2 linked regions of the Caenorhabditis elegans genome follow. The protein of the gene in region 2 purifies or fractionates together with the protein of the main gene of each other region. This does not show direct contact. Each region holds a gene or a part of one and is shown on either strand. Other genes may lie near its edges. The genes, in order: F56A8.3 and ncs-2.

Region 1 (8,418 bases), on a different chromosome or scaffold from region 2:
GATCCAGCTAAATTGAAAACGAAAGAAGCGCCCGAGCATATTGATCACAAGAAATTATGTTAGTTTTTTGGTTTTTTTTTAATTCAATTTAAAAAAACGTTAGATTATTTCAGTCACCGAAAGCTTCAAACAACGGAGAATCGAGCATACGACCGCAATTGAGTCGATTAAAAAAATTGGAAAAGACAAGCGGAGATTGTTTTTGGAAGATGTAAGAGTATTATTAAATGTGACCAAATTTATCTCAATGTGCTTCAGGTTTTGAAAAATGTGCAAAACCTGCTGAAAGAGTCGCGAGAAGCTTTGGAACGGACCGCCCATCGATCGGATTCGCCGTTCCCACACGGTAGTGAGCTGCTCAAGGATGCACTTTCCAAGGTGAGTTTTTGAAACTTATATTACCCAGACGTGAAATTTGCCAATTTTGGCGCCAAAAGTACGGTAGCCGGTCTCGAAACGACCAATTTTTGCCAAAAATTGTGTGCTCCTTTAAAAGGAGCTTTTATCAATTTTTAACAAACCGTGAGAAAAACAAGGAAAAATCGATGAAAATTTTCTTTGCTACAAAATTTTGAGATTACAGCACTCTTTAAAGGCGCACACTTGTTTAGAATTTAACAAAAAATTTCGTGTCGAGACCTGCCACCGTACTTTTGCCTAATGATTTTTGAATTGAAATTTTTTAGTTGGAATGATGTTGGAAATATTTTTGAAGTTGAAAAAAATGGTTTTGATTTTTTTTTTTTTTTGAAAAAATACTACTTCCTAACGAGACCCAAGTATTGGGGTGGAGTTTTTCGTTGAAGCGCGATTGAACTTCAATTTGAAAAGACACATTTTCTCACAAATATGATACATTTTACAGCTCCACGAGAACATCGCCTTCTTCACAGACCTCTCACTAGCGTTCTCGAAATTTTTCGAAACGAAAATCCAAAAGGATCGGAAATTGAAGACTTTGATCGTCTGGGCCTACAATTATTCTATCAAAACTGGCATTTTTGATGAGGAAACTGAAAAGAAAGTGCAACTAATGGCTCAACAACACGAGTTTATTGAGAAAAATGAAAAGTATGAGAGTTCTTGGCTGGACCCGGTCTCGACACGACTTATAAGAGAAAAGGTGTGCGCCTTTAAAGAGTACTGTAATCTCAAACTTTTTTATCTGGGATTTTTTTTTAATCGATTTTCATAGTGTTTTCTTTCAATTCGTTGGAAATATAGTGTTTTAATATTAAATTTGAATTTGTTAATCAAAAAATTATGAAAATTCAGCTGAAACGAAAGTTAGGAACTACAGTACTCTTTAAAGGCGTACTACTCTTCGCAATTGAAACAAATTTGTCGTGTTGAGACCGTGATTTGGCTCAAAAAATGTGTTTTTTTTAAAGATTTTTCAATTCCTACGATAAGGATCGCGTTAAAGAAGATTTAGAAGCTGAGGAAATGAAAAGAAAAGAGAAAAAATCGAACAAAGCCGAGAAGAAGCAACCGAAAGGAGAGTTATAATTTTTTTTTCTTCAATTTTTGTGTTTTTTTTTCCTGTTTATAACCGAACTCGTCAAATTTGGCCATAATATTTTGATTTTATTTGTCATATATTTAGTTATTTAGGTTGAGTACAATTCGATTTTCAAGGTGCTATTTAATAATAATTATAAAGATGTTTTTTTTTTTCAATTCAGTTTTTAAAATATGGTTTTCAACCCATAGTTTATATCAACTATCAAAATATTCCATTATTTTTACTTACAAAACTGCAATTTGGAAAATTAATTTGGGCCCTATTGGGTTTATTTGTTTCAAAACCAATTCATAAATTTGAACTTCCCTCCAAAATGCCACAACGACGCTCCGAAATTCCGCATACGCATGTTGTTTATCGTAAATTCACACAAATTAGTTTGCTGATTTTTCTTCCTATTTTCTTTTTTTTCCCCAAGTTCAGAGGTTATACATTTTATTCAAAGCTTTCTCCAGATTTATTTTAATATTTTATCGTCTCTTCTTTCACATGCACACTTTTACGTTACCATCCCAACAATGCCGCGTGTCGAAAAATTTTTTTTCGCAATTTTTTAAATTTCTAGGGAATTTCTCTGTGTGAAACTACAATGTCATCGCATAAATATAGTCTGACGGAGCTCAAAAACTTGCAAGAAGATGATGAGTTGGATTTATCGGCAAGCGGAATTCAAGAATTCCCCAATGCAATCGTCCAACTGCCACGGTTGACGAAATTGGATCTGAGCTCAAATGCAATCACTTTCTTGCCGGAATCTTTCTGCAAGATGACTAAGCTTATTCGGTAAGAGTTTTAAGCTGAAAATTTTTGTATATTTTAATTTAATTTTTCCCTTTTAAGGTTAGACTTCGGAAGTTGCCAGCTTCATCATCTCCCTGATGGAATCGGGCTCTTGACAAGCTTGCAGCACTTGAACCTTTATAACAATCAAATAGAGGTATTTAAAAAATCGGCTAAGGCATGTAGAAATCAATCAATATTTTCCAGGACTTGCCGCTCTCGTTCGCCAACTTAAAATCCTTGAAGTGGCTGGATTTGAAGAAAAATCCGCTCAACTCGAAGCTCGCCGCCATCGCAGGAAACTGTGGGACTGATGCCGAGTGTAAGCAGGCTGCCAAGCAAGTCGTCGACGTTTATATGGGCGAGCAGAAGAAGGCCATCGATAGCCTGAAAGCCCAGGAAGCTAAGCATAAGGCCAAGGTGCAGAAGGCCCAGGAAGAGGAGAGAATGAAGAAGAATCAGGAGAAAAAGGAGAAGGCGGCGGCTAAAAAGGGTACATTTGCAGGAAAAAAAACTATAGAAATATTCTGGAATTTGAGATATCAGAGCCCGTTTTCCATTAATAACGCATTTTCAGAATTTCCGGAAATTCTGCAGTTTCCTGGATGATTTTCTCAATTTTACAGGAAAAAATGATCAAATTTTGACATTTTCTTTAAATATGGCGAGATAACTAGCCATAATATAATTGTTAAAAAATTAGTTAAATTTTGCAAAAATTACATAATCATCCGTTTTTTCTTTAACATGGTAAGAAATCTGGCTATTCTGGGAGAAATTCACTTTAAAAATACCAAAATTGGCTTAAAAATCGATAGTTCAACCGAAAACTGTCAGAAAAGTACTTTTAAAAGTGACACAAAAACTGAGAATTTTCAATTAATATATGTATTTGTATATTAATTGAAATTTCTCAGCTTTTGTGTCATTTTTCTGGCAGTTTTCGGTGGAATTATCGATTTTTAAGCCAATTTTGATTTTTTTAAAGGCAAATTTCCTCCAGACTGGCTAGTTTTATCGCCATGTTAAAGAAAAAACGGATGATTATGTAACTTTTGCAAATTTTAACTAATTTTTAAACAATTATATTATGTCAATTAATATTCACGAATATTATACTTTGAATACAGAGGATAAAATTGAAGGAGCAGGTGGCGGATAAAGGCACACACACAGCATCTGTCAATTTCTTGCTCTCTCTCTCTCTCTTCCTTTTTCTCGTCGTCATTTTCTATTCCTTTTGTGTTCAAATCCTTCCCCCTTTCACTATATACGAAGACGACGCCGCCTGTGAGCATCTGGAAAGAGCACGCAACTATTGGAGACATAGAGAAGCTCGAGACCTCCGTTTGTGGCAGACCCCACTCGTCGTCCTCCTCCTCAGCATTTTCTCATCGTTTTTGACGGCGATGCTTCTTCGTTGGAGGTGTCGGATTTCTTGTTATCACGTTGTTTTAAGCATGTTTTCTGATGGAATATGAGTTCGCGTCGTAAAATGATTTTTTGCAAAAAACTGCAAATTCGATTTGAAAATTCCCATTATTTGAAACAATTTCTGCAGGAGAACCACATTGACGATGAATCACTTTTCATTTTGGTTCCGTTGTGAGCTGATGGGAATTGAATCGTCGTATCGTAGTGACCACTGTGACTGAGATCGTGGCGAGACCCACTTTAAAATAACGTACAAATTTTTTTTCAAAATTACGATACCCATGTTCATTTTCTAATTTTTCATCTGGTTGAACTGCTAAGGTCGACTGCACTACTTGCAGTCCGATTGCACAACTGACCACAACCAACCACGTACGTTTTGTGTGTGTGTATGTGTATGTGAAAAATGAGACAGTGCACGGATCAATAGAGACGCAGACACTTTGAAAAAGCGCCTGTCCGACCGGTGACCCCCCTCTCCTCTTTTCTCTGTTTAGTTTTTAAAACTAAGCGATTGGATAGTCAGTGTTGTTATTGTGGCTGTTTTGCAGTTCGGAACGTGTGAATACCTGTTCTTCGCCGGTTTCCAGTTGATAATCCTTAGGTTTTTCTGCAGACATGGTATTTTTAGATATAATATTTTTATTTTTAATACCTATATTTTTTCATGGAAAGTGAAATGGAGCTTCTTTTGAGAATCTATTTTTTTTCATTTTCATTTTAAAAAAGCAGAATGCTGTATTTAGCCTTGTAAATCTACGGGATCTCTGTTGCCTCGGCAGGTAATCTTGGCCATTTTTCAGAGCATTTATTGGCGATGAGTGCTCTAGCAAGATATATCTATCTGTATCTAGCTAGATCTTGCTAGAGCAGTCATCACCAATAAATGTTCTGCAAAAAGGTCAAGATTACCTGCAGAGACAACCTAGATCCCGTAGATTTACAAGGAAGTAGTGGCTGTCTTCCCATTATCTCATCAGCAATCTTCCAATACCTTTCCAATTGATGACTGTCCAACTAGCAACATATCGGATTTACCTACCTACTTACCTGTTAGTACCTCACATCATGGATGGGCGGCAATCGCCGTCCGGCAAATTTTTTGGTCGATAAATTCGGCAATTCGACACAATTGCCGATTTGCCGGAAATGTTTAGAAGGATTTTTTTTATCAGACGGAAATCCTTAAAATTGTGTCTTTTTGAAATTTTTTCCCATTTTCTTTAGATATTTTCATAGAATTTTCTTACTTTTCAAAATAGATGTAAGAGCATTCATAGGATGCGTAGAATTTTGCCGATTGAAATTGAAATTCTGAAATTTCCAAAAAAAAAATAGCGCAAAACCCCCAATTTGCCAGTTTGCCGATTTGCCGAAAATTTTAATTTCGGGAATTTGCCGATTTGCCGGAAATTTCAATTCTGAGAATGTGCCGATTTGCCGAAAATTTAAATTCCGGGAATTTGCCGATTTGCCGGAAATTTTCAATTTCGGCAATTTCCCGATTTGCCGGAAATTTTCAATTTCGGCAATTTGCCGATTTGGCTGAAAAATATTCAGTGTTCAATTGACGCAAACTGTAATAATCGAAAAGCTATTGGTATTTATATTCTCCAGTTGAAATAAATATATTTTGTTTGACCTACAAGTTTTTGATCTACTGCCAGTCTTTCGAACCGCGTCTACCAAAAAGGAGCGGAACAAAAAAAGATGATACAAATTCTTCCGTCACTTCTTTTCCCGTCGAACTTTTTCTTTTTGATTGACACTTTTTTTTTTGAAATTAGATTTTTGATCTTTTTAGTTGAAGAAATTCGAGTAGTACGCCGGCTTTATCACAATATTTTTTCTTAACAAACGTCATATTTTTCTTAATATTTACTATAAAAGTTGTAAAACCTACGTGGATGACCTCTGTGATACGTTTGCCTCGTTGTTTTTTTTGTTTGTCGAATGTTCTTTGATTGTTGATGTCTTTTTTATTTATTTTTTCGCTCGCCTCTTACTTTTTTTGTTGATAATTTTCTGTAGATCACCCAAATATTTACGTTTTTTTTTTCAGTTTTCTCCTTCCCACTCAAACATTACGATTCCGAAGAACAGGATGGCTAGTAAGTTTTGGAAATTTTTTAATGGACGGGCTCTGAGCAAATTCTTCAAAAATTTCAAAAAAAAATTGATTCCACACTTTTAATCCAAAAATTTTCCAGAGAAAGACGCCAAGCAGCAGCGCGAAACTGTCAACGCCGCTTCTCACAAGAACAACCACTCCCAGCAGCCAAAATCGCAGAAGAAGGAGCCGCATCCGAAGAAGAATGAGCAGAAGAAGACGGAGCAGCCACGTGGATTCTTCAGAAAATGTAAAAAAATCTGAGAAATTTTTATATTTTTCGACATTTTCAAGCGAAACACCGAGCCGATATCCCTTTGTGTAGATTTACGAGCTCGTGTACTATGCGTGGGCAAGATTTAACTGATTTTCTTTATATTTTAGATTGTCAATATTTGCCAATTTAACATGTTAAATGCAAAAAAAGTTAGCGAAAAACTGCAAAATCCTGCAAGAAAAATGGATTCAAGCTTGCCCGCGCGAGCTCGTAAATCTACACAAATCTTAAAGGGACATTGAGAAAACAATTTGTTTTCCAAGCCTACCAACGTCATATATTTCTTATCAATGCTCGGTATGATTACGTTGAATAAGCAACCACGTTATTTTTCAGTATTTCTAGCTTAAAACTGCAAAAAAAAACGTCTAGAATGCTGGAAAAAGGTATTCAAAATTCAGAAAACCACATTTAAAAAAAAAGTAAAATTTTGATTTTTTGAATTACCGCGCTTGTGTCGCTAAACTCCGCCCATAAAACCGTGCCGCACTTTTGTTTTTTTCAATTTCGACGCAAATTAATTGACACTTTTTTCGCTAAAAATTTGAAAAAACAGCACAAAAAAGCCGAAGTGCGGCACGGTTATATGGGCGGAGTTTAGAGACAAAAGCGCGGTAATTCAAATGAGGAAAATTGGCAACAATTTCCATTCTTTCTCTATAGCTTTCTAAAAAATTCGAAGTTCGATGCACCATGAATTTTAGTCAAATTTAATGATATTTTTTCAGTGTTCGGATTCGTCTGGTCATGCGTCTTCTACCTGACAATCGTCGTCGCAACATCGAGCACCGTTGCAATCGCGCTCGACTGCAAGGGCCTCGGATCACCGATTCCTGGAACTGCTCCACTGTGCAAGGATCTTACATTGATGGCGACTGGAAACAAACCATCTGCCGCATTTGTTAAGAACACCAGAGCCGCCTACGGATCAGTCTTGCAAGGATATCAGTGAGAATTTGAAGAATCCCATAAAAATTTTGATAGTTTTTTTCAGCAACCAAGTCAAGCCACACGTTGCTCCAGTTCAAGCCGCTGTCAGCAAAAAATGGAAGCAGTTTGCCAAGTCTGATGTTGGAGGAAAAGTCGAAAAGATTGCTATGAATATTCACGCTTGGATTGTGGATAAATGGGTCAAAATTCAGAGATTCGTTCAACAGACGGTATATTCTTTGATACAGAGGTTTAACAAATTATATAAATATCACAATTTTCAGTGGAACAACGTTGCGGCTTGGTGGAAGAAGAACGGGCAAAAACAGTTTGGTCCAGCTCTTGAAGGATTCGTACTTGGAGTCAAGATGGTTTTCCAAGTCGTTGCTGATGCTCTTCGCAGTGTTGGAGGTGCGGAATTTCGCAATTTTAGCTTCAGAACTACGGTAGCCGGTCTCGAAGCGAATTTTGCAAGTACAGTAATCCTTATGGGCGCACACATATTTGCACTTGAAAAAAATCGGACCTGCTACCGTATTTTCTGAGCAAAAATCGCAACTTATTAAAAATAATATCTCTAATTCCACTTTTTTCAGCTCTATTAGTCCATTTCTTCGCTCGCGCCAAGACTTTCTTCGTTGCCTTCGCCGATGGTGGATTCAATGCTGCAATGAACACTTTGAACCACTAGAACCCACACATTTCATGATCAAGTCTCAATTCTTTGTTCTGAAAGTGTTGTTTATTCTCCTCTCCTCTCTCTCCTCCTGCCCACTACGGTTATCGTCCCTTCAAAAAATCGATAAATTTACTCGTAGTTATCCACGTTTCCTCGAATTTAGTTGATTTTTGTAGATCATTTTTCTCTAAAAATCGAATCCCCCGCCCCGCCCCCGCCTCCACCTTTCCAATATATTTTATTTATTTTCACTACGTCTTCTTACTGGTGTTTTTCCGTTTTTTTTGTTGTAGTTGCGGTTTGTTTCGGATCGCACACAATTTGTTTCCTCAGTATTTCATTTAATTTATATATGAAAATAATTATATTCACTGGTTTTTCAATTGTTTTTGGTATTTTGTCCCTTGAACTATATTATGTTACAGTTGGAAAATACGGGACCCGAGGTCTCGGCACGACAATTAAATTCGAAGAAGTGTGCGCCTTGAAAGAGACTACTGCGGATTTTTTTTTGTTTTTCACAAGAATTTTTTTAAAAAATTAAAAACGGGATATTTATATAATTCGATAGAAATTCTGGAACAACGAAATTTCGAAACTACAGTACTCTTAAAAGGCGCACACCCCTTTGCAGTGAACGAAAATCCGTCGTTTCGAGACCTGGCACAGTATTTTTTGCGGCA
Region 2 (3,600 bases):
AAACTGGCTGATAAATGAAACATGAACGACCAGAAGGCGAAAGTGGGAGAGAAGGAGAGATTCAGAAGAATGAAGAGGTTCTAGACACTTCGCATTCGGTATTTATGATGTTGGCACTTGGAGCTACAAAATATAAGAAAAAGAGCAACAAAAAAATTGACCCTGACAAATCGGTCTCGACTGTCTTTCGGGCCTATTACCGTATATGTTTCGAAATAAAAGACGTTGATCATGTGAAGCTTCTTCCTTTTCTTCTTCTACTTCTTATGCTTCGTCTCGTTGTTGCCACACCACGTAATCGGATTTGAAGGACGATGATGAGCACACGCGGACGACAAGACGAGGAGGGCGAGCTCGGGAAAATTAGATTGAATTACCTATGTGGCCATTTGAGACTCGGCAAATAGGTTAACATCTTGGGACCAGGGTTCTGTGTGCAGTGAAATTGAAATTGAAATGATGCGAAAATCGAAATTCGAGAGAAAGCCAATGAAACTTGGTTTAAAATTTACACAGATTTTATTTTATATGAAATTATATATGGGTGAAAACTGAGAATGGAGACAAATGAAGTCAAGAGAGGTGGAACGAGAGAAGGAAAAAAATGAAGAAAAGAATTAAAAATAATAATTTACCGCATACAACTTATTTTCTTATTATTCAAATTTTCAAATAATAATAATAATAATATAAAAATTTGATTTCGCATAAAGGAAAAGTGCAAGAGCTTTGAGTTTTAACCGAGCTGTTAAGGAAAGTGGAGTGACAAGAGGCAAAAAAGCTACATGGGGTACGGTACCTAGGTACACACATCGATCGATTATTGAAGGGATTTGGGAAGGAGTATAGAGAAAGAATTTGAAAGGCAGAGAGGAGAAGACTCTAATCCGTCGTCTAGTAATGGATTAGTGATAATTTTTTGAGTCTGTGGTTAGACGGAAGAAGGAGAAAATGAAAAAGAAGAGAGCACAAAAACGACGAATAAAGAAAAAAGAAGCTGTGGTCGATATTAAATAAACACTACTACAGGCTGGTAAGTAGGGAGCAAAAATTAATGGCAACGAAGTGTGTGTGTCTGTGGAGAAGAAATAAACTTTCCGGGATTATGGGGAGACGGCTGGAATGCTTCGCGGGAGACAGGGAGACGAGGAGGACGAACTTCAGGAAGGAATCACAGCGGATCGTGAGAGAATTAAGAGCAAATAATATTAGACAAAACAATTTTAGGGCAAAAAACTTGAAAGAAAGTTCGTTTACTTCTTGACTTCATTGGTCAAAATTTGGAAGAGCTCCTTATCAGCAAGGCAGCCGTCAACGAATTCCTTCAATGTCAGCTCTTTATCATTGTTAACATCCATCTTCTCGAAGATCATCTTGGCTCTCTTTCTTGGAGAGTCGTCAGCAGATTTTGTCACTTCTGGGCCGAGCATTTCATAGATGGCCTGAAGAATTTATTTTTAGGATGACGATTAAAAGTGACACTTGACACTTTTCAAAGAAGGGAAATAATTCCGTTTTCTTTTGTTTCTGATTGAAAAAAGCTCACCTCAATAATCTTGATCATTTCCTTCTCGTCTATCGTACCATTTCCATCAATATCGTACATACGGAAAGCCCATTCAAGTTTCTGCTCGGGCGTTCCGGAACTCGTCACATTAATTGCCAATAAAAATTCTTTGAAGTCGATAAAACCCGAGTTATCCGTGTCGAATGTTCGGAATACATGTTCACAGAATCCTTCTGCAGAACCTGACGGGAAGAAATCCTTATACACCTTTATGAACTGCTCCTTGGTTAAGTGGCCTTTCGGACAATCTTGCTGAAAATTGCAAAATTTTACAGAATCATGTCAGCTTTTATCGTTTCAAGCCAAAAAACGAAAAACTTACCACAAATCCTTTATACCATTCTTTGATCTGCTCTTCGGTGAAATTTGTGTTCTTTTTCAAAAACTCCAAATCCTCTTTGGAGAGTTTTGGCTTGGAACCCTTGATTCCCATGGTTTGGGCTTATTCGTCTTCTAGGTGTAGTGTAGGGCTGCAAAAAAACGAGAAATTCATGTAACAAAACAGAATATTTTTAAGAAGGCAATTGATAAGAAAATGATACATAAAGCTATGTAGATATAGTCAGAAATGGAAAGAAAATGAGATACAGAGAGAGAGAGAGAGAGACAAGGGAATTGAATGAATAATAAAAATAACGAGGAGCGGGGTGGTAAAGAGGAAAAGGAGGCGCCCCTGAATTGATATGGGGCGAAAAAGAATATGATGAAGAGCATGTTATATGCACTAAACGGCGCCGTCAGACGCGCCCGCTCACTGCCGTCTCACTGTCGTCTGTCTCTTCGCTCATGGAAGCCTACAAATCGATGATGGTGTATGCGTGCGTGAGGAGTGAGTGTTGTGAGTGACGGATGAGTGTTTAGGAGAAATCATTAAAGCAGACGAGACGCAGCAGGAAGATGAAAGAGGAAGAAGTCGCAGAAACATGAACAATAACAGTAATCCAAATCTATAGATCTAGAGGTTTGGTGAAACTGCCAGAATCTACCAAATATGGTTCAATCTAGTCTACGAATCTTCAGTTTATTGACTAGTTAGCAGTAGCTATGCAAAAGTCAACAAACAATCCTATAGTCTAGAATACATTGAAGTAACACTTACAAACTTATCAAGAAATTAACTTTGTGGTAAACCTTTGTCATTCCTCGACATTACCGACCTGTACCCACCTCGAAAAAGCAAGGATCAGAAATAATTGTGGGTCGCATTTCAACTTAAGATAGTTCGAAAAGTGAATTGACTCAAATTTTTGTCCTTATCAATAACCAATATCGTCTGCTCGACGAGCAAGTATATTTTGGTTTTACATTATAATTTTGTCCTCTTTCCATCGAGAAAACCCGAAATTAGATGTCATCATAAACCATCTCAATTTCTAGAAATATGAGGCATATTGTATGTGCAACTCGAGTCTTATAACTTGACACTTGAAGCTTTTGAGGAAACATAAAGAATTCCATTTCAAAAAGAGAAATGTTCGAAATGGGAAAGTGTGAAAGACACGATGGCTGCTGATGTGAAATGGATATTCAGATGAGCACAACCACACACATATACACATATTCTCACCATGGCCAGTACTACATACACACACAGAAATACATACATACATACACCAGAATTGCTAATAAGCGCCACTTTCGGCGCCGTGTCTTTGCATCAATCTCTCTCTCTCTCTCTTTCGAGTTTCTGGTAGTGCTCGATGACGCATGCAAAATGACGGACGATGGTGATAGACCTACGGCCACGTTGGCACACATAAAAAGTGTTGGAGAGAAGAGGTGTGATAAGAAGACAAACTCAAGGAAATTTCGATAAAGCAAGGAATATTGCAAAATGAACTTGACTGTGAACAAAAATGAAGACCATCGAATTAATAGAGAGAACAACAAATTTAGATTTTTAAGGTATAAAAATTCAAATTTCAATAAATCATAAAAGAAAAATTTGGCACGTGTGTTTCACATCCGGAAACAGATGCCTAGACAAACTCTAAGGAATCGCTCTTCTGGTCCGAAAATGCTTGGAAGTGTGT

Evidence for each region.
Region 1: the proteins of ncs-2 (region 2) and F56A8.3 fractionate together in Caenorhabditis elegans (co-fractionation; one large-scale study listed by BioGRID). This does not show direct contact.

Annotation. Positions count from the first base shown.
Region 1 is NC_003281.10:13,254,790-13,263,207, forward strand, and holds F56A8.3 (Disease resistance R13L4/SHOC-2-like LRR domain-containing protein), read left to right. Parts: upstream 1-2,090; 5' UTR 2,091-2,114; coding exon 2,115-2,308; intron 2,309-2,365; coding exon 2,366-2,462; intron 2,463-2,512; coding exon 2,513-2,798; intron 2,799-5,801; exon of another isoform or gene 5,802-5,843; coding exon of another isoform or gene 5,844-5,850; intron 5,851-5,949; coding exon 5,950-6,099; intron 6,100-6,854; coding exon 6,855-7,074; intron 7,075-7,120; coding exon 7,121-7,286; intron 7,287-7,340; coding exon 7,341-7,467; intron 7,468-7,652; coding exon 7,653-7,747; 3' UTR 7,748-8,101; downstream 8,102-8,418. Other genes in the region: F56A8.9 (CAB39 protein), read left to right, coding at 1-58, 114-211, 259-378, 866-1,071, 1,392-1,509.
Region 2 is NC_003279.8:10,032,780-10,036,379, forward strand, and holds ncs-2 (Neuronal calcium sensor 2), read right to left. Parts: upstream 2,038-3,600; 5' UTR 2,001-2,037; coding exon 1,890-2,000; intron 1,820-1,889; coding exon 1,547-1,819; intron 1,443-1,546; coding exon 1,254-1,442; 3' UTR 501-1,253; downstream 1-500.